Tamandua tetradactyla: one gene and its partners. The protein of the gene in region 3 interacts with the protein of the main gene of each other region in a pairwise test. Links are inferred from orthologs where the notes say so. Each region holds a gene or a part of one and is shown on either strand. Other genes may lie near its edges.

Region 1 (7,455 bases), on a different chromosome or scaffold from region 3:
TCCATTTATTTTCCAGAAAGTTGATCAGAAGGGGAAAAATGGACCTGTTCGCAGTGGTCTCTGGTTTCTTCTCTGTGGCTTAGTGATTTCAGATGTCATTTTTCTGCTGTTATATGTACTAAGCACCTAAAACTCACAATAATTAACGTGTAGGCAGCCCTTCCATCTGTTACCCAAGTGCCCAGGCACCAGGATATGGCAGTGAACATGACATTCAAGGCTTCTCTTCTCACAGAAGTGAAGGCTAGGGGGGCCACTCTGTACACATTAACGCAGAAGATAACTTCCCACTTTCTACTGTGTTTTGAAGACAAAGCAAGGTCACAGACCAAGGGAGTGGTGGTAGGGAGGGAGGGGTGTTCAGGGAAGACTTCTCAGAGGAAGCGGCAACTGGGCCAAGAAGGCAAAGACAAAACGTATGAGGGGCCGAGCACCCAATGGGACTAAATGTTTCACCCGGGTGATCCCGAGGCCTCGCAATATCCCATGGAAGTTCACCCTGCATCCCCAGTGCTTGGAGATGGTCAGCAGCATTTATCAACTTCCCCATCACCCTCCTTCTTCCCCTAAAGCGACTAGAAGCTATCTTAGAAAGTTGATTAAATAATTTCGCAGCCCTGGAAAAGGACATTTTTGAGGTACTGGCCGAAAACCCACACCCTGGCAGCCAGTTTCCCCTGATATTTAATAACCATTATATAAACGAAAAGCTAGAAAAGTAAAGGAAAATGGTGCAACCAAGCTTGTGGGAAAGCCGCAGCTAAATCAGTCCCTAAAGGCTCCTGTGACCTTAAGGTTCAGAAGATAGTGGGAAATCCCCAAATCCAGGAGTGAGAAGCGAGGGGGAGGAGTGGAGAACAGACGAGGCAAGGCGGGAGGGCAGCGAGATAAGGAAGGTCAGGCAGGCTACTGAGCCTCCAGGCACCCAGGTACGCACAGCTGCCCGGGAGCAGAAGGACTCATTGCCACCTTTGCCTCTGGGAGAGGACCTGGCTCCTGCCTGTGATCACCTGTGCCCATCCATTCAGGGAACCACCACCAGACGGTATCAAGAAACACCAAAATTGTACCACTTGAGAAGTTATTCTGAGGCTCTGCCCAAAGAGGTGAAAAACTCCAAGTAGAAAAAAGGTTAAGTATCATTAACTCTAGGGTGCTGCTAACAGCTAGCTGCCCTTGGGCTGGCATGGCTTCTCCATACCTGGCCAGACTCCTCCGGGGTTCCTTTAGAGAATGCAGTAATCTCTATTTTACAGAAGGAGGAAACTGAGGCTCAAAGAGGTGAAGTAGCCTGTGGAAGTCCACATAGCTGGAAAGCCGCTGAGTGGAGAGCAGAGTCTTGGCTTCAAGAAAACAGCTCTGGGTTTTGAGCTCTGCAGCTTGGGTATTTGTTTATATCCCTTTCTGGGCGGTGGGAGGCTGGTCTCAGTTTCTCCGTCTGTAAAATGAAATCTCCTGTGTCGGGAGCGGCTAGCACATCTTCCTAGTATGGGCTGGATTTTCCCCTTCTCAACGTGGGAACTACAAGGCTGCTAACTGTCCCTTTCTCTGCGAACTGGGGCAAGGATTACAGGTGTGTGTGTGGGGGGGGGCACTTGATACAGGGCCGGTCACAGCAGGTGCTCAAAAAATGTTGCAAGTGCAGCGGCAACAACGTCCCGTGCCCCAGGGATGGATGGTCCGGGAGAATATCAGAGTAGCAATTACCGGTTTCCAAAGCGGACGCGCATCCAGGAGGCCAAGGCGCCACCGCGAAAGTTGAACAAGCCGGGAGCCCGCCAGCGCTTATTAAAGCCGGGCCCGCAGGCTGCGCCGGGTCCCCTCCCGGGTGACCGAAGAACCGCGTCCCCGAGCCCATTCAAACGCTAAGCGCGCGGGCTGGCGGCTCCCTGTTTACAAAACAAGAGCCTGGCGCCCCGCCTCGGGGTCGAGCCGCGGCTCCGCCCGCTGTGCGCACCTGTGCAGGGGCGTGGGCAGGTGCGGGTCAGCGGCGGCGCCCGGCTCCGCTCACCAGTTCCTGTTCCGGGCTTTCCCGGCGCTCTAAGATAAAGCCTTTCTCCGACCCCTCCGCAGGTGCGCGGAGGCTCCCGGCGCTCGGGTCCCGGTGGGGACAGGTGCCCGACGCCATCTTCCCTTTTTTTAGGGGAACCTGGGGCTCTGACGTCCCGGCTCTGGGCCTGGGGTCCGGCACCGCACTCTTGCCCGCCCAACCCATCCCCCGACGGCCCCCAATAGATCGAGATCGAGATGGAGCCCAGAGCCGGGAGGCCGCGCAGGAGGGCGGCGCCGGGCAAGGGGGCCACCACCCCATTGCTCAGATGCGGAGATTGAGGCCCGCAGGGGGCCGCAACTGGAATCATCCGGGGCGATCGCAGAGCCGAGGTCTCCGAGTCTCCGCTCCGCACATACCACATCCTACACTTTCCCTGGGGACGAAAACCTGGGCCACGGGTCCTCAGCCTTCCACCCGCTCGGACCCCCCGGCGACCCCCAGGGCGTTTACCTGCCCGGCTCGGGCTGGGCGGAGGGTCGGACAGCAGCGAGGTAGAGGACGCGGGCGGGGCGCGTTTGGATCGCAGTCACCCCCGCGGCGGTGGCTACAGTGCCGGCGGCGTCTGGCGGTGGCGTGACCCGGGAGGTGTATTGTCTGAGGCTCTGCGGACGGCCCGGGACAGGATAGGCCGGCCGGGCCCCGCCCACGCCCCGCCCAAGCCCCTCTCTTCAGGGGGGTTCGCGCCCGCGGCCCAGCCTCCATCCCGCCCGCTCTGGCCCCGACGCCGTCGGCCCCGCCCTTTCCCCCTCCCACCTGGAATTCGAGGCCCCGCCCGCCCTGCGACCCCGCCCCCAGGGCGGCCTCCTTCGCCCCACCTCCCGGAGGCCAAGACTGAGACCGCAAATGGTAACAGAACTGCTACAAGTGTAATCTGCGTACTTGTTTATTGTCTCTGTGGCTCCGCAAATCTGCAAGCTTGTTTTTGTCCTTTCGCTGCCGACTGTGCATGCAGTAGCCCAGGCGGAATATTTGGGGATGGAGCTACTGGCCAAATCTGCGCCACTGTATACAACCTTCATTCCGTTCAAAAAAGTCCTAAGGGGTCGGTGCTTTTTCCGGTGCCCATTTTACCGATGAGAAAACTGAGGCTCAGAGAGGACAAAATGACTTGCTGAGTGGCAGTGTGAAGTCAGTGCTCAGATATCCGTACTCTTTACACTGGTAGCTTCGGGAATTAGGTATTTGTAAGCAAATTTCGCAAATGTAGAAAATAGGGCAGCTTCCCCCCACCCCCATCACTGCTTCCATCCCGGCTTGGTGCAGCCTTTGGCCTGCACACACCTGTTCCCGGTACCCCCCAAGCCTTGCAAAGCTGGGGCATCCTGACCTGCCCTGGGGCTCCTTGTTGCAAGAAAATGGAGGGTGGACAAGCAGTGGAGGCTAGAGCGAGGTGGTGCCCAGAGCTCCTGTGGAAGCAGGAGGAATGGAAGGAGCCCTGAGTGGGGGGAGGGAGCAGAAACCCCCAGGCCAGGCCTAGGGGCTGTTTGGGGTGGAGGAAGGGAGAGGCTGAGCAGGGATAACAAAGTAACCTTTGTTTGGAGAACACAACAAGGCTTGTTTACCTCAGTCTGATCTGAGGGCATAGGGTGGGGCCCAGAGGGGGCTCCCTGGGCTGTTCTGCCATTTGCCACCTGTGGGGCCCTCAGGGTCACATCACCACTGGGGTGACCAGCCTCTCACTCAGTGTCCTCATGTGCTAAAAGGGAAGACGGCACCGACCCCTGGAGCTGTTAGGGTCAGAGGGGAAAGTTAGCGAAGCTTTGAAGAACTCAGAGCCCAAATGTCTTTGTAAATGCATGTCCCTGTCTTAATGAGGTCCCCAGGTCTCATAAAGCCTAAGCCCCACAAAGCCGCTGTCCCCAGGGTCTGGCCGGCCACAGGGTGCCTTACAGGCAGGAGTGAGGAGCCAGCAAAATACTCAGGGAAAGTGAAACAGAAGCGGTGACACAGGGTGTTACAGGCCAAAAGACCCGAGGTGGGTAGAAATGCCCCCTGAGGGCCCTCGGGTGAAGCAAGGGCACTGCAGAGGGCACAGAGTGGGCACTCAATCAATGTTAGCAGAGCAAACAGAGGAAGGAGGTCAGTCTGGGGATAGATGGGGGATAGAAGGGCTGGGAGGAGTGGGTTAAAAAAATTTGCCTTGCAAGTTCCCTTGGTAATATGCTGATTAAATGGAGGAAGAGGCAAAATCCTTTTGAATAAGAATTGGTCCTTTAGTCCAAAAAAGGCCCTGGGTTAGATGGCAAATGGTATTAACAGTTCAAGGATAAGGTGACTTGTCCCACCTGTTTGGCCCCCACACCTAGGGCTAAGCACTCCCTAATAAGGAGCTCCTGTACTCTTGCAGCCAACCACCCCCATGTGACAGGACGGACCACACCCCTTCCATATGACAAGCTGGAGCACTCACAGGGTGCGTGAACAGGCACGGGACAACTTGTGACCTGTTTTACAGATGGGGAAACTGAGGCTTAGCAGAGGGAGGACAGCAGCAGAGGTGGGTGCAAGTCCCGGGGATCCTGCACTCAGGCCCGTGGTGCAGTCCCTTCCTTACCTGAGTGGCAGTCCAGGGGAGCTGCCTCTGGGGCCTCTGAACCTTCCTAGCGACCCCCACCCCCCCACCCCCCCTCCACCCCCCCACCCAAGCCCCTCCTGCTGCGACCATGACCGCTTTTGTCTGTTATTCAAGGATCTACTGCCCACAGACCCTTGGGCACCACTTCAGGTTGTCATTGATATGCATTTATTTGCTTATTCATTTAACAAATTGAGTGAAACTTGGCACGTGCCAGGCAGGATGGTCGGTGATGGGGTCCAGAGATGACACATCCTAGTGCAGGAGATAGAGGATAAACCTGGTGACGGGAAAATAGTGTCCAGCAGTCACAGGCACAGCACCAGCGCAGGAGCGTGGAGCAGGGGAGGGGTGGAGGGTGGAGGACAGGGGTGGGCCTTTTAGCCAGGGTGGCCAGAGGAGGCTCTGAGCGAGGCGAACTTCGTGCACAGAGGGAAGTGAGGAGAGGAGCCTTCCAGAGACCTGAGGGTGATGCCCATGGCTGGAGAGGGGAAGGAAGGGACAGAGCTGGCAGCGTGTGCAGGGTGGACAAGAAAATGACCACCTGCTTGCCAAGTGCTGGCCTCGGTGTCCAGAGCCCCACCTGGAGAGCCAGAAGCTGGTGTGGGTTTGAAATGGCCCTGTCTGGCCACTCGTCATCCCAGACTTTTATGCCCAGCCTTGAGGTGACACCTTATCTGGAAAATCCCTGAGCTCTGCGGGCTCTGCGGAAGCCTGTGTAATATCAGGAGGGTCGGCTCCTCAAAGGGCTTCTCTGTTCTTTCCCAAGCTGGGCCTGAGTTTAGTGCCAGGAGGCAGAGCAGCCTGGCAGGCCCCCTCCTCACCCGTGCATTTCACCTGCGCCCTTCCCAGGAGCACCTCGCAGGGAGCACAGTGGGCCGGGCACATTGCCTGGGTGGTTTCATGTACCTCCTTCTGCTTGTATGAAAAATCCAGCATAGGCAAATCCATAGGGACAGAGTCTCCCCACTAGAGACCAGCCTTGGAGAGGGGTTCTAACCGGCACCAGGGCACACAGCCAAGAGGTTGGAACCCTTTGTCCCATCCACCTTTGAAGACTGTAGCTGGACTTCTGAAAGTCTGTGACACCCCACTCCCCGCTGCCACACCCAGAGTAAAGCAAACTTGTGTTTGATTATGAGTCTTCTCTGGGAAGACGACTTGCAGCCAGCCTGGTGGGTGAGATCTGAGATGTACCAAGTTCGAATCCTGCCTCTACCACCTGTATAGTGGTAAATGCACCTAACATACAATTTACCATTTTAAAGTGTAAAATTCAGTGCCATTTAATGCGTTCACAATGTTGTGCAAATGTAACCACTATCTAGTTCCAGAACATTTTCCACTCCAAAAGGAGCCCCACACCATTAAGCAGCCACTCCCCACTCTGCCCCCCCACCTCAGCCCCTGGCAACCTCTAATTTGCTTTGTATCTCTATGGATTTGCCTGTGCTGGACCTTTCATACAAGTGGAATCAGACAATATGTGGCCTTTTGTGTCAGGTACTTTCACTTAGCATAATGATTTCCAGGTTCAACCATCTCGTAGCATGTGTCAGAACTTCATTCCTTTTTATGGCTGAATGGTAAAGAGTTTTAACATGTCCACAAAAGGTACTGTATCTTGGAGATGTGTGATCTATTAGATAAAATAGTGTGTTTTACAAATTAGTGTGTCCACTATAAATCCCATACTTTTAAAAACATTTTTTATTATAAACTATAACATATACAAAGCAAAGAAAGAAAAAAGCAGTAATTTTCAAAGCACACCTCAGCAAGTAGTTACAGAACAGGTCCCAGAATTTGTCATGGGCTACCATTCCTCCAGATTTTTTCCTTCTAGATGCTCCTAAACGCTGGAGGCTAGACGGGATATTAATATAGTGATTCAGCAGTCATACTTGTTTTCCAAATCCTATTCTCTCTGCTATGCCTCCTCCATTCCCCCGGATCCTTCTCCTAATCCATAGGGATCCCTGGGCAATGCCCTTTCTGGCTTTTTTTTTTTTTTTTTTTTTTTTTTATTTAGAGAGAGGGAGGAAAGGAAGGAAAGACAGAGAAGGAAGGAAGGGAGGAAGAAAGGGAAACATTTTTAAACATTTTCTTGTTTTATTATATTTTGTTTGTTTGTTTGTTTTTTACATGGGCTGGGGCCGGGAATCGAACCGGGGTCCTCCGGCACGGCAGGCAAGCACTCTTGCCCGCTGAGCCACCGCGGCCCGCCCCCTTTCTGGCTTTTTCATGTTGTGAAGGGGTGTCAACACTAAAGGATAGGGGGAGGTAATTAATTGATAATCTTGGAGAGGCTGGTCCCTCTGGGTTTCAGGAATAAATCCCACATTTCTAAAAGTCCCTGTATAAGAAAGTTCTGGTAGGAAACACAACAAAGCAAAGTGGTCCTGTCTGGGCAGTAGGATTGCAGGTGGTCAAATTTTCTGCATTGTATTTTTCTGTGTTTTCCAGGTTTTCTATATAAGCATATTAATTTGGTAATCGGGAAAAGGTTTTTTTTTCTTTTAAGAAGAGGAAGAAAACTATGTTTGATCTGGTAGCAGGCTGGAGCTGAGCCAGAGACAAAGGCAAATGCTTAGTTTCAAGTTAGAGACAAAGCCAGGACAGAAATACATAAATTCCAGACAGAAAGTGATCAGGGCCTCAGGAGAGAGAAGGCCTAGAGCCAGGCTCAACGAGAGGATGCACACGCATCAGGGTGGTTCTCGTGGAGGAGGAGGTGTTTGATGGGAATCTCGAGAAACTGACTGAATTTCAAATGATTGCTGTGGAGGGAAGAGTGTTTCAGGTTGGGGAACAGTAGGAGCAAAGT
Region 2 (7,741 bases), on a different chromosome or scaffold from region 3:
AAATAGAAAAGACAGTAAGAAATATAAGGAACTGAGGTCCCACCCCACTCAAATTGGTGGAATGAGATATTCCAGAGTTCTATTTCCTCATCGAAGATTTGAACAACCAATAAGACCTGACAGAAACATCCTTCTCAAAGGTCCAGGAAACATTTAAAAGGATTGCAACTTTTTGTAATGGGGTGAGGTTATAATAAAGAAAAAGGCAACTGGAAAATAGTATGAAAACCTTTTTGTGAGGCCCTTGTTGTCCCCTCCTCCAAACTTTCACCATCTCAGTATGGAGTTGGCCCACACATCCAGTGCTGGTCCCTGGTCTTGGTTGGAGAGGGAAAAAAGTAACCTTCATGCCCATACTGGGAGCATGTCTGTCCATCCCTAGTCTAGTTAGTAGAAGCTTAAGGACTAAATCAGTACACTCATTAGAGGCTCATCACAAAAGAACTTGTTTTGCATGCAGAGGCAGCTCATACGATGCTGTGGGAGAGCAGTCAAGTCTGCTCTCTGCTGACTGACTGGGCTAAGGACTGCTGGTTGTGGAACAACAGAGCAGTACCCCGTACCGTAAGAAACTGCAGTGTCCTAGGAAGAGAGGAATTCATATCTATGTAAATGGGGTATTTCCTAGGGCTATGTGAGCATGCCCAAGACAAGACACATGGGCAGAAAGGACCAGGGAAGACCTTATGTTTTTGGCTTGAACTATTCTCTGATATCATTGTGTGGCTAAACTCTGAAGGAAAGCTCTCACAACACGCACAGGACAGTCTTCAAAGACTGGGAATGTGTTTCCTTTTTTCCTTCTCTCTTTTTTTTTTTTTTCAGTTAGCGCCTGGCAGTCAAGGAATAACACTACCTGGATAAAAGTTTAAAGAATGGGCGGGCCACGGTGGCTCAGCAGGTAAGAATGCTTGCCTGCCAAGCCCGAGGACCCGGGTTCGATTCCCAGTGCCTGCCCATGTTAAAAAAAAAGTTTAAGGAAAATGCCTCAGAATGATAAATTCCAGCAATAACCCATCAAAATATAAAAATTTCCAGATTTCAACAAAAGATTACAAAACATACAAAGAAACAGGAAGTTATGGCCCACCCCCCAAAAAGAAGATTATAACATTAGAAACCATTAACAAGGAAAACCAGACCTGGGACATTGTAGACAAAGACTTTTTAAAAAATGGTTCTTAAATATGCTCAAAGATAAAGATAAATATTGGACATAGAATTAAAGACATTAAGAAAATGGTAGTTGAACACAAAAAGAATATAAATAAAAGATAAAAATTATGAAAGGAAGCAAAGAGAATTAAAGACCATATAACAAAAACAAAAAGAAGGACTAAACAGATTTGAGCTGATATAAGAAAGAATTGGTGAACTTGAAGACAAGGCAATTTAAATCATTCAATCAGAGAAGGAGAAAGAAAAAAGAATAAAGAAAATCGAAGAGAGTCTGAGGAGCCTGTGGGACACCAGCAAGCATTCCAGTTTATGCATTGTGGGATCCCAGAAGAAAAAGAGAAAAAGGCAGAGAGAATTCAAATAAATAATGGCTGAAAACTTTCCAAATTTAATGAAAGATATGAATATATACATCCAAGTTACTCACTGAACTCCAAAAGGGATAAATTCAAATAGACCCATACTGTGACATATTATAATCAAATTGTTGAATAGCAAAGAAAAGAGAGAATTCTGAAAGCCGCAAGAGGGAAGAAACATGTCACATACAAGGGGACCTCAATAAGATTAAATGCTGAAGAAACCATGGAGGCAAGAAGGCAGTGGTATAACATACTTAAAATGCTAAAAACAAAAAATTGTCAACCAAGAATTCTATATCTGGCAAAACTCTTTCAAAAATGAGGTAGAGATGAAGACATTCCCAGATAAGCAAAAGCTGTGGAGTTCATCACCACTAGACCAGCCTAAGAAAAAGAGTGAATGGAGTTTGCAGGTTGAAAGGAAAGAATGCTAGACACAGATCAAAATCATGTGCAGGAGTAAAGAGCTCCACTAAAGGTAATGTCATGGATAAATATAAATGCCAGCACGACTGTACTTTTGGTTTGTCACTCCATTTTTACTTCCTACAGTATCTAAAAGGCAAATGCATAGAATATAATGATAAGTCAATGGTTTTGAACTCATATTGTATAAATATGTAATTTGTGACAAAAACTGCTTACAAGTGGGAGGACACAGGGGTATAGGAATATGGTTTGTGTTTGCTATTGAAGTTACATTGGTATCAAACCAACTGAGGTCAGTATAGCTTTAGGCTGTTAAATTTAAGCCCCATAGTTACCACAAAGAAAATATCAGAGAATATGCACATTCATGGAGACAAAAAGTAGAGCATGGGTTACTAGGGGCAGGAGAGCAGGACAAATGGAGGAATTAAAGCCTAATGGGTGTAAGACTTCTGTTTGGGGTAAAAAGAAAGTTCTAGTAAGGAATGATGGTGAGTGTACTGCAACATTGTAAAGGTGATTTTTCCCACTGCTTGGTATGCATGGGAGTGGTTGGGATGGAAAGATTTATGTTGTATATGTTTTCACAATTAGAAAAAAGGAGCAACTAAAGAGACAATTCAATGCAGTATACTGGTCAGGATCTAACAAAGGTGGAGAAAAGGCTCAAGAGGACATTACTGGAACATATGAAAAAAATACAACATAGACTATACACTCTTAAATTTGGACTACATTAAAATTAGGAGTTTTTGTTCATAAAAATTTATCATTAAGAGAGTGAAAAATGAAAGCTACATGTGGAAAGGTATTTGCAACACATAACTACCAATGGTTGGGGATTGAATTTGTGTCCTCCACAAAAGACATGATCAAGTCTCAACCCTTGGCCCTGTGGGTGTTGACCCTTGATAAGTAGGATCTCTTGAAGCTGTTATTTCAGTTAAGATGTGGCCTAACTGAATTAGGTTGACCTTTAATCCATACTACCAGAGTCATTTATAAGTAGAATGAAATTCAGGCACAGAGAGAACAAAGCCATGGGGAGCAGCCAGAAGCTGGAAGTCAACAGAACCCGGAGGAGAAAGGAGAAGATGCGGTCATGTGTGCTGCCCGTGATGGAAAAGCCAAGGAACCCCAAAGGTGGCAGGCCAGTCAGAAGGCACCAACCTCAGGGGGAAGCAAGCCTCCTAGCCTCTGAAACCATCAGTCAATAAATTCCAACCCATGGCGTGGCATTTGTTTCAGCAGCTAGGCAACCAAAACACAGATTCTATTCAAAACATGAAAAGGACTATTACAAGTAAAAAACAAAACAAAAACATACAAAACAGAAGGCCCAATACTAAAATGGGAAAGTACCTTGAACAAGTATTAGTCAGGGAATTGCCAATTAAAATCCTGACGAGGTATGATTGCATATACACTGTGTTACCATGGTTTTGACTTTACCCTTTTTGTTGCTCTATGGAAATGTGTCTGGACTTTTAATTTTTTTCCTTGTCAGCGGGCACTGACTCTTGGTCAGTAGAGGATGCTGGGGAGACTTTGCAGGAGGAAAGAGTTTTGCTTCCTGGCTCCAGTGCATCTGGCTTCCGCAGTGTGCTCAGCTTCTCTGGGCCTGGCTTCTACAGGACCCGCAGGGAGCAGAGCCCCGAATACCTCTAGTGAGACAACTCCCCATGCACAACTTCTCCAGCACCCCGGAGGGTGGATTTTCACCCAGTCCACAGCGTCTTCTCTGCTGGGCGTTGGTAAGCTGGGCGGTGGAGAGGCGAAGAAAGACCTAGTGGTAATATCTGCTCTTAATATCTGGTCTTTCCTTACTCTTTGGAGTTCTCTTTACCTCCTACTGGTCAATCTCTCATAACTTCATTTCCCTGTTATAATCATTCTTTGTATTCAACTTTCTCTGTCCAGATTACTGCATAGTTTCTCCCCTGATTAGACCCAGACTGATGGATCCGCCTTTAAAAAGTGGCAATACCAAGTTTTGTCAACGATGTGGAGCAACTAAACCGTGTACACGGTTAGTAGGAATGGAAATTGGTACACTGTTTTGGAAATTGTCAGTATTTACTGAAGTGAAATGCATACTCTTCAATTCTACTCCTGGATAAATACCCACCAGAAATGTGAACATAGGTGTACCCAAGTATTTACACAAATGCTCATGGAAGCTTTATTCATAATAGCCAAATATCAAAACAACCCAATTGTCCATCAATAATAGAATGAATAAATTGTACTATCTGAGACAGTGGAATTTATAAACATCAATGGAAATGAACTACTGCTTCACACAAGAATAGATCTCATAAATATACTAGTGGACAAAAAAGCCAGATACAAGACATATATTCAGTGTGATTCCATTTTCATAAAGATTTAAAACTAATAAATCTAATCTGTGGTATAGGAAGGCAGAATAGGGGATGCTGTAAGGCTATCATTTGCTTAATTCTGTACTAATCACATAGAATTTCAGTAACTATGTTTTCAGTTGAGTTGTTAAGTTGGTGAGCCTAGGTAATTTCTAATAAGATTCGAAGGATGTCTTGAAGTGGGTATGCAGAGAGCTTCTCTCCTGCCTGGCCTTTCTCCCAGTTTTCCTCTCCAGAGTTTCTTTTTTTTATCTGAAAAACAGGGTAATTTTTTTTTTATAAGGCAACTGCTACTGTCAGAGTCCCCTAGCGAAACATGATTTTCCGGAAGGCTGTCCCTGGAAACAATCAGGCAGAATGTGAAGTAACAATCATTTGTGAGTCATCAACAGTACTGGCCTTCTGATGAAGTGAAAGTGGAAGAGGGCATAGTCTTTCAAACCTTGTAGGTTCTCTAACCTCTAGCTAAAGTCTCTTATTCAGAGTCTCATCTTGGGTCTTTTTGCCTTGTGAACCAGGACTGAGAGAGCAAGCAGTGCTTGCAAGCAGTGTTGGGTGAGATGTGACAATGACGTCACTAAGGATCTGACATGACAATGACCACCTGCCCTTTGAGGGTGATAGGACTTGCCCAGTTGGGAAACAGCTAAGCTGTAAGTAACCATTGCCTTCTCATTTGATAGTGTTGGCTTTAAGCATAGGTTCATATATAGCATTTCCCTTAGAAATTATTTCTTAATCTTTAAGTAGAATGATGATTAGGCATGTTTCTTTGTTTCATGCCCTTATATCATCTTCTGCTCAGAGGTAATTTGATCATAACTTGGAGTTGAATTTTTCTAGTATCTTGAACCCAGGGGACTGGCCTTCATTCTGCCATTTACTAAACAGCTCTATGTCAGACATTGTATTAGATGCTGGATGTGGAGAGGGGTGAAAAGTGTTCCTGGTGGGTCAGGAGGGGCATAAACTCAGTCTGAGCAAGACAAAGGAGTGACAGGTGAGGTTTCCCAGAGATCTGACTCCTTATTTGGGTCTTGAAAGATTAGCTGGGTGAAGTGAAGTGGGGTTAGGCAGACTATCCAGGGAGGCAGAACAGCATGGCAAAGGTAAAGAAGGTAAGCATAGTTGAGGAATTTTCAGATGGCCAGAGTATCTGAGAGTTCTAGAATGGCTTTCAGGGGCAGATCATGATAGCTCTTGCATGTCACCCTAAGAAAATAAAAACAGCATCATAATAGTAATTATAATTATTCACATTTTCTACATTTATTGACCACTTTTTATGTGCACTCAATATACCCAATTTGTTCCTTGCAAGAGTGCTATGAGGTAGGACAAGGTGTACTCCATTGGGAAAAGGAATCCATAAACAGACTAAGAAAGAACTATCTGGAAAGTAAGAGGAGAACAGGATAGCCTGATATCAAAGGAGTCAAGGGGGGGGAAGAAAATTTTAGAAAGGATTAGCATCGAGTGCTGCCAAGATGATCTTAATTGGTACAGTTTCTGAGAAGTTAGGAGGCAAAAGATAGACCACTGTAAGATGACGGTGCAAAATGGCAATGCAGACATAGTGATAGTGCTTGTCACCTATTCTTTTAAGAGAGTGTTAGCAAATAGAGGGAATTAGAGGACTCTGGTTTTTGTTTGTTGGTTGATTGGGTGTCTGTTTTTATGATGAGACTTGAGCAAAGTTTATGTGCTGACAGACAAGAATGAGCAGAAAGAGAAAGAAAGCAAGAGAGACAGAGAGTAAGAGAGAGGTCAGAAACTTACTGAGTGAAAACAAGGGAGCCGTGAGGAGATAGGACAAAGTCACAGGAAGAGAACTTACCTTGCTAAGAGAGTGAGCTGAAAATTGAGGAATTTCATTCTACAAGTTTCTTTTTTCTCCATAGATAGAAGGCAACAACCTCTGAGAATGAGGGAGAGTCCGTGAAGACTTGACGGGAGCCTTGAAGACGTCAAAGAAACCGTAAGACACCAAATGCCATAGTAGGTCTCTCCTGCTGCTGCTCAGGCAGGGACTTAGATTCAGAGGGAAACAAATCTAGTTAAGTGAACTCTTGGCACTCACTGAGCTAATTTGTCTTTTTTTTTTTTTTTTTCTATTCTCAAGTGACTCTAACATCTGTGGTGTTGGTGAGGAGATGCCACTTTGAATGACAAGAGTTATGAGGCTAAGAAAGTGAATTTCTTAGCAAACTGAGCCAGCCTCCCAGAATGTACTTCTCAGCTCAGCTTTGAGGTTCATCTTCTCCTCATTGGGTTACATCCTCTGTTTCTTCATGGAAAGCAGCCCTAAAAGGAAAGCTAATAGCAAAGGCTTGTGATAGGCCTGCAGAAAGTGTGAGAAGTTCTAAGAAAGCCGTAGAGTAACTACATCAGCTATAGTTGAAATCTGTGGCCAAAAAAAGGGAGAAGTTAATTAAACTGCTTTATCAGTGAGCTCTTTAGTTAGTGCAAACACTGTTCATAGAGTAAAAAAATAAAACTTTAGCATAAGTTGGAGGGGTGACTGCTTTTGGTGTTGGGATATGTCCAGGAAACACTTGAGAAGTCAGAAGCCTGCCCAAACATTTCCTTTGTAAACTAGAGACAGATGGCTCTCACAAATGAAAAGGGACTATTGTGAACTGTATTTGTTGTTTGTTGAAAAATTTAAGCTGTTATTGTCTTTAGTGATAACATTCAATATGTTTTAATTCACATGTTCGTATATTTCCTTCAGCCATAGTGTTATGAGGAGAGATTATCTTTCATTCAACATTAATGACCAACTTGTTCCATGTTGCTGTTATCAGTTGGTCCCAGGCTTGATGTGAAGTCTCTCTCTTACACATACACTCGCACTCACAAACACACACACACAGTCACACCCCCTTCCTAACGAAAATATCAACTTGATGGTGTTTACAAGCAGCATTGCTTAATCATGTGATGTCTTTATAAAACGACCTTTGGCTTCTTGCAGAATCTTGACTCACAGACTTAATGATTTGGACAAGATATTTATTTATTTAAGCCTGGTTTTCTCAGTTACAAAACAGCATTACTCAAGGTGCCTGTCTCACACTGTTGTTGAAAGATGAAGCAGATGGTGCAGGTGAAGTGTCTAGCATCAAAGTGCTGAATGAATGGGTAGGTTGTAACTGTTATTATTGATATCGTAATTAGAAAGCTGGTTGTTGTCCACTGCTATCTTGGCTTTGCTCACAAACAGTCGTCCCATCCAGTTCAACGAATGATTGTGGAGGGCCTGCTCTGTGAACTCAGGGCAGAAAGAAAATAATGTAGGGAATTCATAGAAGAATGAGGCACTTTTTCTGACCTCAAGATATTAATAGTAGGGATAAAATAACCCTAATAAACATGGAAAATCAA
Region 3 (7,269 bases):
AGTATTTTCAACCAACGGTTGAGACCCACTGCTCAGAAAAAAAAGAATCCTTTCAAAATATGACTGCTCATTGACAATGCACCTGGTCACCCAAGAGCTCTCATGGAGATGGACAACAAGATGAGTGCTGTTTTCATGCTTGCTAACATAACATCAGTTCTGCAGCCCATAGCTCAGGGAGTTATTTCAAGTTTCAAGGATTATTATTTAAGAAATACATTTTGCAGGGCTGTGGCTGCCTTAGGTAATGATTTCTCTGATGGACCTGGGCAAAGTGCATTGAAAACCTTCTGGAATGGATTCACCATTCTAGATGCCATTAAGAACATTTGTAATTCGTGGGTGGAGGTCAAAGCATCAACATTCACATGAGTTTGGAAAGAGTGGATTCCAACTTTCATGAAGGACTTTGAGGGACTCAAGACTTCAGTGGAGGAAGTAACTGCAGATGTGGAAATAGCACGAGAACTAGAATTAGAAGTGGAGCCTGAAGATGTGACTGAATTGCTGCAACCTCATCATAAAACTTTTGTAGATGAAGAGTGGTTTCTCATGGATGAGTAAAGAAAATGGTTTCTTGAGATGGAATCTACACCTGGTGAAGATGCTGTGAACATTATTGAAATGACAGCAAAGGATTTAGAATATTACATCAACTTAGTTGACAAAGCAGTGGGAGGGTTTGAGAGGATTGACTCCAGTTTTGAAAGAAGTTCTACTGTGAGCAAAATGCTATCAAATGGCATTGTATGCTACAGAGAAGTCTTGTGTGAAAGGAAAAGTCAATCGATGTGGCAAATTTCATTTTTGTCTTATTTTAAGAAAGTGCTGCAGCCACCCCAACCTTCAGCAACCACCACCCTAATCAATCAGCAGCCATCAACATCGAGGCAAGACTCTCCAGCAGCAAAAGATTATGACTTGGTGAAGGCTGAGATGATGGGCAGCAATTTTTTAGCAATGAAATCTTTTTGAATTAAGGTCTGGACATTGTTCTTTTAGACATAATGCTGTTGCATGCTTAATAGGCTCCAGTGTAGTGTAAACATAACTTTTATATGCTCTGGGAAACCAAACTACTCATGGGACTTGCTTTATTGCAGTGATCTGGAACTGAATCTGAAATATCTCTGAGAAATGTCTGTACATCTGTTCAGACATGGGGAGACTCCCGAGGCACCAGGCCCCTGTGCACCTCTTCTGGAACCTTCCGTTGGGGTCTTCAGTCTCTGTGGCTCATCACTTGCACAGGGCCCCATAGTTACCACACCAGAGAGTGGAGGAATTTCAAAATGTTTTGGATGAGAGTTTAGGGAAATTTCAGAAGGAACTGGTGATGTTGGAGGGAAAAGATTGGCATGTCTGAGAGAAACGTTAAGGGACAAGTTCTCTCTCTTCCTTCCAGCCATCCTTGGTGGTCAATCTAAGTGAGGCAGGCCTGTGGAGATGGTGAGATGCCCATGGTTGGGAATGAAGTCTCCCCAACTCTTTGCTTCAAAAGGGAAAGCCTGTGTCCCTGGGAAGTGCGCCAGCTGCCCTCTGCTTTTGGCTGAGAGGAGACAAGTCTGCTGGACGTGAACTGGAGCAGAGTCCCTAGAGGGGCTTGATTACTGCTGACATTTCTCCAGAGGAGGGGAGAGCGTAGAGGCAGCCATCTGGTTGGAAGGGGGATTGGGAATGCTCCTTAAAGCACTTTGCATAGCAGGGCAAAGCATTTTCCTCTGAGTAGTGCATTTATTTGGAATGGTTGGAGGGGGCTGATAGAAATTACTATGGGACTAACACCTCCAATCTACTTTGTAATTTTACTGGCTGTGGGGACCCCCAAGAGAGCCAAGAGTGATATTAGGGAAGGCGACAGAAGGAAGTCTTCGTCTGCTGCCTAGTGCCTGGAGGGCACTCCCAGGGTCTGAGCTTGGGCAAGAGAGCAGAAAGACCCCGTGACTCTAGAGGGGTCACTTTACCTCTGAGGACTTCTGCTTCATTTGTTTTAAAATAAGGAGGATTTTAGTGGTTGTGGAATAACTTCTATGGGCCAGGCTATGTCTGTACTCCTGCCCTGGTTTTTGGGTGATGAGAACTGAGACCCACAGAGGTTAAATTCCTTTCTCAGGGTCACATAGTCCTTGCTTTCTCTCCAAGGTTGCCAGATTAAATACAGGGCAGTAGTTCAATTTGGGGTATACCTACATTAAAACATGATTTGTTTTTTCACACAAAAATCAACTTTAACTTGTCCTGTATTTTTTACTTGCTAACTCTGGCAACCTTAGGCAGCGGGTATTTTCAAGGGGTGAAGCCGATTTCCTGAGGAGCTTGGTGGGCTAGAAAAGGTGTGTGTGTGTATGTGTGTGTGTGTGTGTGCCTTTGGGAGGAGCTGAAGCTGTTCTCCAGGGGACTTTTTACTCTGAGAAAATGCAGCAGAAGAGTTAGAAAGCACTCCCTGCCACCTCCTCTGGGGGAGGCCAAAGATTGGAAATTGCTCTCCTTGCTGCCCATGGGCCCGTGATGAGGCCTTTGGACACCTGGGAATCAAAGAGATGATGCCATGTGGGATGGGTGGGCTGGAACATGAGGAGTGGGGTCAGGGCCTCTGCCCTGGTCTGGCCAGTGCCTGCACGGCAGACCTGACTGAGTAGTGCTCTCTGCATTTGGCATCCCTGTCTGTTGGGCCATTACCCAAAGGGCCCTTCCTGTTCCAGCCCTCTGTGGGTCTAAATTTGGCACTCTGCAGAGGGGAGCTGAGCCATCCTGGCCTCACCAAGCTCAGACCCTGGAACTGACAGCTCTTGTCCCTGCCAGTTGGTCCTGTCTGGGCCAGTCTGGTCCATAGGTTTCTCAAGGTTTTTGGCCTTAAGTGATGGGTGCCCCTGCCACCAGGGGGCAGTGCCTCTGCGAGCATCTGGACCCAGGTTCCCTGTTCCCTAGAAGCTCAGTTGGCAGCCAGAAGGATCTTCGGTCAGTGGCTCAGGGCCCTGCAGCAAGCCAGTGCCTGTACTGCCCAGCATCTGCTGACTCAGAGTGCCCCTCGCAACCAGGCAGCCCTCTAACCCCGTTGCCCACTGGGGGCACTGAGGCCCAAAGAAGTGAAACATTTGCCCAAGGTCAAATCTTGAGGTTGTGCTGAGGGTGGGCAGGGCCTAAGGCAGCCAGATAAAATACAAGCTATGCAGTTACATTTGAACCTCAGATAAACAAATTTTTTTTGTTTAGTATAAATAGTTCCCAAATAATGTATGGGGCATGCTGCTTCTAAAATTTTGTTTATCTGAAATGCAAATTTAACTTGGCATCCTGGATTTTTCTTGGTGAAATCTGGCAACCATGGTAGGTCAGAAACCCATGGCTGCCTAGTGTCCCAGGACCCACTGAGCAGCTCTCTGCAGCCTCTGCTTGATTTTGGGGTGGCAGAGAAGGAAGCCCTCCGGGAAGCTCGGGTTTCATGGCAGCTGCTGGCATGGGGTTGGGCAAGGCTCCTGGAGAGCCCCCAGGAATGGAGGCAGGGTCCCCGTCAGTTCAGCTGGGTGGGGGCTGAGTCCCAGCGCTGGACACGTGGGGCAAGGGACAAGTATAACCAGCCCCAGATCATGTAATGGTCTCTAAGTGAGCTCTAGCCTCTCCCTTCCCCCGTCCTCCCTCCTTCCTCCCCTCCCTCCTCTTCCGCCCACCTGGCCCCAGCTGTGCTTAGTTCTTTTCATCAACAGCTTCCCTAGAGACTCTGTGGCTATTCTCTAGAGTGGTCCCGGGAGCTTGCTGGAAGGAAGTTTTCTCATGGTTCTTGCAATGCTGAGCCAGGTTAGAGAAAGGCCATGTGCCTGCCTGAGAACTAGGGGTTAAGGGAGGCAGCACGTGCTCTGGGAGGACAGCTTCAGTGGAGGTGGGCTGGGGGGCAGCCTGGACTCTTTAGCTAGAGCTGGCCTCACAGAAGCCACAAGAGGCTTGGGACTAACCCTGCTTTGGCCAGCCACCATTTATGGGACCCTATGCCAGTCCTTGCCTCTCCCTAGAAATGATAGAGGGTGGACCCCACCTGCCCCAAGATGGGGCCAGATCAGGTGACCCCTGAGCCCAAACAGTTCTCACAGGCAAAGTTTTGAGCGTTATCTCTTCTCCTAAGTTGCTTACAGAGTAGCAGGGGAGAAGGCCACAGACCCAGTCAATAAGATAGAACAAGAACAGAAGGTGCTGGGCCCAAGGCCTGAGTGTGGAGAGGGAGTCTCTTGGCTCCACCCTTCTGCCCGCCCAGATATATCTGCCTGGAGCTCCTACCCCTCAAAGAGTGGTTTTCTAAGTGCCTCCTTTCTGACACGCACCCTGCGCAGCTCTGGCCACAGCCTACAAGTGAACAAGTGGCTTTGATGGCAGGAGAGCCCACTAACACCAAGGAGGAGATGGAAATGCCTTTGGCCAAGGAGGTGAGCCCTCAAGGCCAAGGGCAAAGTCAGGAGTGCCTGACAACAGCAGGTGAGGATCCCCTGAAATGCTCTCATCCTTGGGTGAGATGGCCAGCTGTGTGGACACACATCTGCACCTGTATGTGTATGTCTGTATGTGTGTGTGGGCACGAGCATGTGTCTGTGCCTTGGTGTACAAGCATTTGCAGCTTTCCCCTTATCTCGGAGCTTCTGAGCATCCCATGTGGGTGGAGGGCAGAAACAACAGTGGACATGGACCCTCTGTCTCCTCTGGTCCAAGTTCTCACTGTGTCTGTTGCAAAATATTCAAGTCAATTAATCAAATCAGTCAGACTGATTCTCTCTGCAAACCCTCCCAGTTCTTCCCCTTGGACTTTACCATAAACTCCAAACTCTGTGCCATGGTCTCCATGGCCCTATCAGTGTTGTCCCTTCAACCTTCTCCCTGTCACAGCATGCATGCAACATACAATGTGTATAGCACACGAAGGGCCCCACTCCACAGGGCATTTATATTTTCTTGTAACACCTCAAGCTTGTTCCTTTCTTGCAGCCTTTGTACTTGCTGTTGCTTCTGCTGGGAATGTTCTTGCAATGCTGAGCCAGGTTAGAGAAAGGCCATGTGCCTGCCTGAGAACTAGGGGTTAAGGGAGGCAGGACGTGCTCTGAGGGGACAGCTTCAGTGGAGGTTTTCCATGTCCAGGTTCTTTTTCCCTTTAAGGTCTCTGCTTCAATGTTGTTTCTTACTTTTCTACAAGTAGCCCCTTCTTCACTGCATGTTACCCTGCCTTTATTGTTCTGGGAGTGTGTATCTCTCTATGTGAAATTGCCTGGTTGGTTATTTTTGTTTTGCACTTTCACTCTGCTTAGTACACACATAGCTGGTTGGGTTTTTTGATTGCTGGGGCCTTATCTCGTGGTCATCGCTCTCTCCCCAGTACCTAGTACAGAGGTTGGCCTTCAGTAAATGTTTGGTGACTTGTTGAACAGATGAACAGACTGAGGCCTGGGACTGCCTAATGGGCAAGGGTGAGTGGGTACTGTGGATTGCTAAGAAATTTGTGGGGCTGTCTTCTTTATGGTGTTCCTATACCTAGAAAACCTTGGTACAACCTCTATCTTGGGACCTCTCTTCTTCTTCTAGAAATGACAGAGCAGGGATATTGGTCCCTAGGAGTCTACCAGCGGCGACAGAATTTGGAACTCAAGACTGTCAGCTGTGTTCTAGCCCCACCAGTTTGGAATATGACTGACATCCGCCCCAAGAAAATGGTTGTATGTGGGGTACTTGATACTTGGTGGCTGGGTTAAGGATGGGAATTTTGGCTATAGGTCTCCAGTCTGAGCATGGTAGGTACAGCAGGTCCAGATGTTGACTTGGGGGTCAGCAGAAGCTCCTTTGTGCCAGGCAGGAACCTGAGGGCAGGGGAACCCTTGAAAGATTTAGAACTGTCCTTTGGCAGGCAGGGAATCCAACCCTAGAAGTTCAAAATGTCTGAAGCACTCATTGCTTGGAGAGTACATATAAATGCTATTCTGTAAAAGCTGTACTGTGTGTGAAACGACACTTTCCTTGATTAAAAACAAAAACAAAACAAATGTATGTGGGGTGGGGGTAAGTTGTAAGCCGAGGTGAGTGAGGCTTCTAGGCTTCCTGGCTGTTACGAAATCCAATCACGTGAGTAACTATTCTGTAGCCAATCCTTTAGCTACACTGAAAGTGAGTGAAGGAATGTTCTAGAAAAAAATGGCAGTTACACTGTTGCAAAGGATACTGGGAAAGGGCAACCATTTTAGAAGAGGACTGAGACGTGACTGTTCTAGGGAATCACGTGAGTACTGTCTTTTGTCTGTAGCCAATCCTTTAAGCTTTGTTCAATGTGGATGGGGAAATGTTTCAGAAAAATTGTGCTATACTGCAGCAAAACCTACTGGGAAAAGATAGCCAGGTTAGAGGATGAACACACTGTCCTGGGAACCATGTGAGTCCTATGTTCTGTAGCCAGTATTTTAAGTTACATTAATGTGGGTGACGGAATGTTCTAGGAAAAATGACTATTTTATAGTGGCAAAGAATACTGGGAGAAGACATTGAGGTTGGGGAGGAGGGAGACCTGACTTTTCTAGGGGTTAGGTTACAATAAATGCTTAAATGATCCCATCCCCGAACGCAAAAAGAGAGAAAGAGCCCCCAGGTCAGAGACTGCTGGGAATGCATATAAACCAGAAATACTGGATTTACTTCCTATGTCCAAAGGCTGGAACCAAATCAAGTTCTTCCAGCAGATCGGACTCCAGGAAGCCACCCCTGCCCTTGAGACCGCAGGAGGATATAACCACTCGATTAATTAAATTTAGCTATTAGAACTAGAGAAGTGTCCTTAAAACCCACAGACATTATATTGAATTTAAAAATTAAGACTATTATTTGATTTATTAATTTGATTTATTATAAAACAGAACTATTAATGGAACTGCCAGTGCCTCTGAGACAACTGCAGCATGCAAGGGCCAAATAAATAGTGAGCCTTAAAAAGCACTTTTTTGAAACAATTGACAGCGGGAAATTTGGACATATTGCAGTTCATAGAATTTCCTATTCTCAATCAAATTAATATAAAAGCCTTACATTTTACAATGTATAAAATTTCAAACAGAGTTTTAAAAATAAAAAGGCAAAAAAGCAAATAACTGTTAACAAACATTTAGACTTATCTTATTCCAGGTGATCACAATAAAAGGTAGTATCAGCTTGGAGCTGTTGTTGTTAAATTAATTCTTACTATCTTGAAGTGCTGGCAACAAACTATGTTATCCTAAAGCAAACAAACAAAACCTGCCACTGTCCACTCTC

The links.
Region 1: the proteins of FATE1 (region 3) and BIK interact in binary tests that used the Homo sapiens proteins (3 or more experiments, as listed by UniProt). The two-hybrid records come from large-scale screens. The link is inferred for Tamandua tetradactyla from reciprocal best matches to the Homo sapiens genes FATE1 and BIK.
Region 2: the proteins of FATE1 (region 3) and CCDC70 interact in binary tests that used the Homo sapiens proteins (3 or more experiments, as listed by UniProt). The two-hybrid records come from large-scale screens. The link is inferred for Tamandua tetradactyla from reciprocal best matches to the Homo sapiens genes FATE1 and CCDC70.

Annotation. Positions count from the first base shown.
Region 1 is NC_135333.1:36,798,472-36,805,926, reverse strand, and holds the start of BIK (bcl-2-interacting killer), read right to left. Parts: upstream 3,002-7,455; coding exon 2,933-3,001; intron 2,656-2,932; coding exon 2,504-2,655; intron 1-2,503.
Region 2 is NC_135330.1:105,214,352-105,222,092, forward strand, and holds the start of CCDC70 (coiled-coil domain-containing protein 70), read left to right. Parts: upstream 1-4,740; 5' UTR 4,741-5,007; intron 5,008-5,018; exon of another isoform or gene 5,019-5,161; intron 5,162-5,192; exon of another isoform or gene 5,193-5,354; intron 5,355-6,255; exon of another isoform or gene 6,256-6,259; 5' UTR 6,260-6,332; exon of another isoform or gene 6,333-6,352; intron 6,353-6,476; exon of another isoform or gene 6,477-6,805; intron 6,806-7,331; 5' UTR 7,332-7,498; intron 7,499-7,741.
Region 3 is NC_135353.1:3,542,181-3,549,449, forward strand, and holds the start of FATE1 (fetal and adult testis-expressed transcript protein), read left to right. Parts: upstream 1-4,252; 5' UTR 4,253-4,358; coding exon 4,359-4,464; intron 4,465-5,559; coding exon 5,560-5,690; intron 5,691-7,269. UniProt on the Homo sapiens protein: Involved in the regulation of endoplasmic reticulum (ER)-mitochondria coupling. Negatively regulates the ER-mitochondria distance and Ca(2+) transfer from ER to mitochondria possibly implicating it in the regulation of apoptosis.